Linked DNA regions of Saccharomyces cerevisiae S288C. Changing the gene in region 1 together with any one later gene gives a genetic interaction. Each region holds a gene or a part of one and is shown on either strand. Other genes may lie near its edges.

What was found.
Region 2: mutations in MNT3 (region 1) and DDI3 together harm fitness more than expected from each alone (negative genetic interaction), as found in Saccharomyces cerevisiae (one large-scale study listed by BioGRID).

What each region holds. Positions count from the first base shown.
Region 1 is NC_001141.2:324,032-328,691, forward strand, and holds MNT3 (alpha-1,3-mannosyltransferase MNT3), read left to right. Parts: upstream 1-2,071; coding exon 2,072-3,964; downstream 3,965-4,660. Other genes in the region: aspartyl protease BAR1, read left to right, coding at 1-74; YIL014C-A (uncharacterized protein), read right to left, coding at 1,181-1,495; ATP-binding cassette multidrug transporter PDR11, read right to left, coding at 4,176-4,660. UniProt on the Saccharomyces cerevisiae protein: Mannosyltransferase involved in adding the 4th and 5th mannose residues of O-linked glycans.
Region 2 is NC_001138.5:7,964-11,037, forward strand, and holds DDI3 (cyanamide hydratase), read left to right. Parts: upstream 1-1,581; coding exon 1,582-2,259; downstream 2,260-3,074. Other genes in the region: SNO3 (putative pyridoxal 5'-phosphate synthase), read right to left, coding at 2,338-3,006. UniProt on the Saccharomyces cerevisiae protein: Cyanamide hydratase involved in the detoxification and/or utilization of cyanamide, a toxic nitrile compound distributed widely in the environment.

The DNA.
Region 1 (4,660 bases):
ATAAGACAGTCATAACAGAAACTGTCACGAAGTATTCTACAGTCTTAATAAATGTCTGTAAACCAACATATTAAGAAATCTGGAGTACAATTTCTTTATAGCATATAAATATCAAATATATAGTCATTTTTAATACATGGAAAGCATAATAAAAAAACAAGGGGAGTTTTACTGATATCATTGGGATATATAAAACAAAATAGTAATATTATGCAGCCATCACAATTTTGAACAAGTAGCACATTATTCATTGAATAAATGCTAAAAAAATCTCCGCGACGGGGAATTGAACCCCGATCTGGCACGCGACAAGCGCCCATTCTGACCATTAAACTATCACGGAATATTAGATGTGATATTGTTGTATCTCAAAATGCGATACGTCAATATGACAATACGTCATCCTAAACGTCCGTAAAACACATATGAAACAACCTTATAACAAAACGAACAACATGAGATAAAACCCGGCCTCCCCTAGCTGAACTAACCAAACGTATAAATGCCTGAACAATTAGTTTAGATCCAAGATTCCGCGCTTTCACCATTTAGTATGATTCATATTCTATACAATATATAAGATAAGTAACATCCCGTGAATTAAGCTGATAATCCGTTTTGACAGCTCGTTACTTCCCTAAGACTGTTAATAATAATAAGATTGTCAAGACACCCCGGTATTACTCGAGCCCGTAATACAACAATTTTTTCATTTCACTTATCCTTTGTATTTTATGTACAGTAAAATCTGTCATCTGAAATAAGGACCTTGTTGAAGAAAGACTTTGTTGTGTCGGAATGTTGGAATAAAAATCCACTATTTTCTATCAACTAATAGTTATACTATCAATATATTATCATATACGTTGTTAAGATGATGACATAACTTATGAGAAGCTGTCATCGAGGTTAGAGGAAGCTGAAATACAAAAATTGATAATGTAATAGGATAACGAAACATATAAAACGGAATGAGGAACAATCGTAATATTAGTATGTAAAAATATAAATTCCACTTTGAGGATTCCTATGTCCTCGAGGAGAACTTTCAGTATATTCTGTATACATAATATTATAAGCATTTATCAACAATGGAACCCCCAACAATTATCTCAAAATTCACCCATTTCTCAAATATTATATAGCCTTTACTAACAACGGAATTCCAACAATTATCTAATTATTCATTAAATGGCCAGGAAAGTCCTGGCAGAGGGGTACTTTCATCAGTAAAGGAATAATTGTCCCAGTACTCCCCCGCATCATAAACCCACTGGGTTGCATTCTCCAAAGTTGGCACTAGATGAGTTGCTATTAATTCCTCCGTGCAGCCATTTATAGCGGACACATTTAAAACATAGTCACCTAACATTGGGTTAGTTGTATAAGATAGATAGCTAATATCAGGCGTGGCATTCCCCCAAATAATCAATAAGTTTGCTGATTCATTACTCATCAAAGTAGTTATACTGGGATAGTTCATGTCAATGTCCATTTCTTTTCAGAAAAACAGACTGTTAAATAAAACAGGCCTTAAACTTCAATTTTTGAACTTTTTTCTACTTTCTGCCTTTAGCTCTGTTGTCTCATTAAAATAGTACATAATTTGTGCATAGCTACTTGTAAGAAGCAGTCGAGTAAATGTTTGGAAGCTGTTTGCAACCACATTTTAAATGATATCCTTTATGCGATAATCTCATCTACCGTAAAATACGAGCTTCTATGGCCAAGTTGGTAAGGCGCCACACTAGTAATGTGGAGATCATCGGTTCAAATCCGATTGGAAGCAATTTTTTTTCTTTGAAAGAGAATCTTTTTCAAATACGGAAGAATGAAGAAGTATCGACAATGCAAATTACCTTAATGATCTCGTCTAAAAAAATTTTGAAGAGGAATTATTCTGATTTACACGCAAAAAGTGGCAATAATCTACTCTTTAATTTGGTATCATTGTTTGTCTTAGTACTTAAATTGTGCCTCTGGAACTGATCAAATTCCTTTCTCCATCACATGAGTACGAGGAGGGGTGTTAAGGAATTAAAGACAGTCTACTAAAACTATTTCCCTAAGCATGCTTAAATCATTAAAATCCAGAAGACTAATCTTAAAACGATTAGTAACACTGCTGCTCTCTTTATTCTTTTCTTATCTCATTTTCTCTGCCAGTCGGAATGTTACATCATCCAATAAATTAAACAACCATGCAAGCGAGAGGACAGCTGTTGAATCATCTGCATTCAATTGGATTGAAAAACGACAACACCAAGTGAGATCCGAAAACTTAATGAACAGATTATCTGCCTACTTTTTGCCCTTTTTGAGTAGAAGTTCTCACAAAGAACGTGTATTGTTGAGGCAATTAGGAAATAATGAAATAGCGAAGAGTGACAAGTGCCGTTACATTTTTGAAGTACTATACAAGATTGATCCCGACTGGGACAATGCGCAAACTGCAAAATTTTATAATGTTGATGGTGTAGATAACACGTTGGCCTCATTGTTAGGGGAAAGATTAAGATCTTATGATTATTGCTTTTTATCTGGTCAATTAGATCCTACTGCAATATTTGCAAATTCAACCGTAAATCCTCATGATTTGCAAAACAGAATGTTTCCATTTCTGAAGAAAATTAACGAGGAATCCAAAACTGTAATGTGGCCTATTATCACAGACATGACAACTGGAGAGGCAGTTCCGGCACCCGAGGTTGATATGGAATCATCAAACTTTAATGGTAACTTTTGGTCCAACTGGAATAGGTTGAGCAAAGGAAGAGGTTTTGTTTTAACTATTGCTGAAAAGGATGTTCCTTTATTTTTGAAACAGTTGAAAGTGATGGAATTTTCAAAAAACGAATTACCATTCCAAATAGTATCCACGGGAAATGAACTATCAGCAGAGTCTATTGCTAAAATTTCTGAGACCGCTAAAGAAACGGAACAAAGGGTCTACTTAGTAGACTGCTCGACAGTGCTTGACACTAATTTTGCTAATACATACATTTCTTTTTTTCAGAATAAATGGGTCGCCACTTTGTTCAACACATTTGAAGAATACATTTTGTTGGATGCAGACGTAGTACCGTTTGTAGGGTCTGATTACTTTTTCGACTCTCCTTCTTACAGGGAGAGCGGGATACTTTTGTTCAAGGATAGGGTTATGGAAAACGAGCAAACTTTCCAATACTGCATCGAAATGTTAAATGAAGTGGAACCCTCTGCACAAGAACGCAGATTTATTGGAAGTAGGTTAGTTTTTGATTCGTCATTACCGTTTTCTTCCGAAACCTCAGAAGAAGCATCTGTGTATTACAATTTTTTCAAAAAATTACGACTCCATCATGTTGATAGTGGTTTGGTTGTAGTCAATAAACTTGAGAAATTAAATGGATTGTTGATGTCTTTTATGTTAAATTTGGATGGAAAATTGCAGAGGTGTGTGTATGGTGACAAGGAAATATTCTGGTTGGGGCAATTATATGCTGGCCAGGATTATTCTATCAATCCCGTTGATGGCAGTATTATTGGACCTGTTAATGAAGAGCCTGAAAATGATGACGGACATAAAAGCGGGATGTACTACATTTGTTCTACGCAGATTGCACACAGTGACTCCAAAAATCGATTACTATGGGTAAACGGTGGACTGAAGACTTGTAAAATTTCGAACAGTGCTGAAGATGACTTTGGAAGAGAGCCAGAGTATTTTAAGAGTAGATATGGGGACATTTCAAAATTAAAAAGGATATATGATGCTTCGTTGAACGTAGAGGGACTAATCGTTCCTGACGTTTCTGTTCATCCATGGATGCAAATCAAGGAATGTTCTAATTATATGTATTGTGCATATGCTACGGGTGACGGACACACAAACTCTGAACTTGACGAAGGTCGTCTAATCACGTTTACTGAAAAGGAATTACGATATATCAATGATATTTCTCGAACCTGGAATGCTAATTGAGAAAAAAAAAAGTGAAAAGGAAATGAGAGTATTAATATTTATTAAGTATGGAGCATATATAATCCGAAAAATGATTATAGATTAATTTAGAATATGATTTGGGAATAAATTAACAATTAGTTTAAAGCAGAAGGCAGCCGGATGAGGAACAAGAACTGTTGAATAGTATTAGGTAATTTTGAATGTTTTCTAACGGAACGCTATTCACTGATTATACGCTTTGTTCGTTTGGATTATGAGATGTTTTGGACCGCCTCATTGATGGGATACACTTCTTTATACCATCAATCACAGAAGGCCAAATTTTTTTGATGTAGGTTAGGTAGAAGCCCACAAACATGGCGGCAATGTTAAAGCAAACGAAAACCCATTCAAAACCAAAATTTCTCCATCTGTGATGATAACTCATATTTTCTTGAGCAAGGAAGTCATCCCCAACAGTGTACATGCAGTAGGCGCAGACGGTGTATGTGTTATTGATGTGCAGTTTCCCACCAAATTCATCAATAAAGGGTTTCATAAACTGACCGCAGGTTTGACCCATTACAGGTTGGCTTGGTACCATTTCACTTGTCGAGCAGTTTACTTCTCTGTCATGGAGAAGTAAGCTTACGAAAGTTTCAATGAAATACGTGTATGGTGAAACCCTGTACATGAATGTCCAAAATCTTGGGAATAACGAGTATGGTTGCATAA
Region 2 (3,074 bases), on another chromosome or scaffold:
AAGGCTTAGGAAAACCTGTGCTGAATACTGGATGGACACTGCATTCCCACAGTGAAGCTTTTATAGATACACTGCCAGTTATTTTCGAACTTTCATCAAGTTGCTGAGTTTTAGTATCCCTTTGCCTTAGCTATATGTTTGAATGAGCAAAATATTTGCAATGTCTCTAGCTTTCTTGAAATATTGGTTTATATTGAGGGCTTGGTAAGATTTCAAATTTCATTTTGAAGTGCTCAGGAGAAAAATCATGCTCTTTTGATAATTTGGTGACTAAACATACATAAAACAGTTTAATTTTGGGTGGTAATGGCTGTGTGACTAGCTATAGAAAGAAAAAAATTAAAAAAAAAAAAAAAAATCAAGTAGTTCCTGCACTGCGACGTCCATTATAGCATTATAAATTGGTCCCTGATTTACGCATGCGATAAACTATTTTTAGCGCAGCCGCATATTATCCGAGAATAACTTCCGACATAAGAAAATTCGCAGAAAATAGATAAAAAAACTGCTCTTGGCATTCTTCACTTCCTCTATTACACACTGTGTCATACCACAATCATCTCACAGTATGTATTTGTATGTTTATACATGCTATAACGTAAAACAATGTAGAATATATATCTAAATACCTCACGGTTTTAGTTTAGTGCAGCCCACATACTACTTTTTTCCTTTTGTTTTTTTTTTTTATATTTCAAAGGTTAAACTCGCTTAGACTATGTCTATAATATAAAAAAAAAATAGCTCTATTCCGTTTCTTTTATTCTATTTGATATTTCCATCACACTTTCATCTTAATCACGGATGTATACTGATAATAGGGTTGACTGCGCCTGTACGGATTACAGTGCCCTCTTCAATTGGAAAATCCAAGCTTTCAAGATGGGTAACTGTTATTCAAAGGATCCTCTAAGATAAAACACAGATCGACAGATCCGAGAGTTGGCTTCTGTGCCTTGGGCTCAAATTCCTTTCCCACCTCATGCAAATTGATTTTTCTGACTCCAAAAAAAGACAGAGCCCTGCGATAGTTCCCGAATGTTGTAACATCAAAGCCAAGCACTCCTTTATAGAAGTCGCATGAACGTTGAATACTAGCAGCTGGTGAAACTACAGGGTCTAAACTAACTAGTATCCATATCTTTTTGAGAGCATTGAAAGTATACGGAGTACAAGCTGGGTTAGAAGGAATTTTTATCTTAACAGCAATGAAAATCAACTTTCTAGACTGAATCCCTCAAGAAAATTGCAAAAGACTAACTGATACTGGTTTAAAAGAGAAAGATGTCAAATATGCGGAGTTATACCATCAAACAACTTTGGACGGCCCCGAAACAAATGTCCGCAAAAAAGATCTTATTAAAGTGCATGGACACTATCATTTCTATAATACAAAATACTCCACCGCACAATAGTTTGTCGGGAAGTCATCAATCAATCTTGTACGAGCTTTACAAATAACTTTTTAGGATCGGTCCCCTCATAAAATTATATATAAATGGGTTAGTTTCCTTCTTCTTCTGTTAACATGAAGTTGCTTCGTACTGTTTTTTGCCTTGCTTCTCTTCAAAAGAATCAATCATGTCACAGTACGGATTTGTAAGAGTTCCTAGAGAGGTAGAAAAGGCCATTCCAGTGGTGAATGCACCTAGACCACGGGCCGTTGTTCCGCCTCCAAACAGTGAAACTGCTAGGCTTGTTCGGGAATATGCCGCTAAAGAATTGACTGCCCCCGTTCTAAACCACTCTTTGCGTGTTTTTCAATATAGTGTAGCTATCATAAGAGACCAATTTCCAGCATGGGACTTGGATCAGGAAGTTTTGTACGTCACCTGCTTACTTCATGATATTGCAACAACAGATAAGAATATGAGAGCCACGAAGATGTCATTTGAGTATTATGGTGGCATACTTTCAAGGGAGCTTGTATTTAATGCGACAGGTGGAAATCAGGACTATGCAGATGCAGTAACTGAGGCCATCATTCGTCACCAGGATTTGACTGGGACTGGCTACATTACCACCTTGGGGCTCATTCTGCAGATTGCTACTACGCTTGACAATGTCGGATCCAATACCGATCTGATTCATATCGATACAGTTAGTGCCATTAACGAGCAATTTCCAAGACTGCACTGGTTATCATGTTTTGCTACGGTGGTGGACACTGAAAACTCGAGAAAACCGTGGGGCCACACCAGTTCTTTGGGTGATGATTTTTCAAAGAAAGTCATATGCAATACATTTGGGTATAACTAAATAGGTAAGTTTCAATGAGGCGAGTTCAGAATGAACAGTGATGATCTCCTTTCTCCATAACTATACTATACGTCCCTTTTATTTACTGTAGTTTTTAAGAACAAATTCTCTGATGAACCAGTCGTGAAACCGTATATCGTTTTCTGCCAATTCCGGATGAAATGATGTCGCAAGAATATTGTTTTTTTGCTTAGCGGCAACAATTAGTTCTTGACCACCATTATCCTTCCCATCTAATTTGTACAGGACCTGCACATGTTCAGGATCCAGCACCTCTTCTATTACTGGGGCTCTTATAAAAGTAGCAGGAAAATCATTGCAGTGAGGAATAAAGTTTGAAAAGTCGCAAATCCGGGTAGAAGACTGAGCTTGTCTCCCAAATGCATTTCTTTTTACTTTAACCTTTAGTAAATTCAGCGTCTTGACCAGTTTTGCTTCGTTAGATAATTGTTGTGAAATATAAATCAAACCTGCACAAGTACCCCAGGTTACCTTGCTTGGGTTGTGTACGAATGCGTAGAGATCGTCGTAAAATCCTGTTCTTTCTGCAATAAGGGACATTGCAGTCGACTCTCCCCCAGGTATGATCAATGCATCACATTGAGCTAGTTGATTTTTATCCTTCACTGTCATCACAGATAGTTTTTTTTCATAGAAATCCCTGTTTTCGACGATGCATTTTTCTACGTGTCGCACATGTTCAATGAACGCACCCTGTAATGCCAAGACTCCGATAACGACGGTCATTTTTGAGATATTACTCTTGTCTTGGCCCCAGCAACCAGGGTCATGGTAAGTGTGCTTGCTACTCAAAC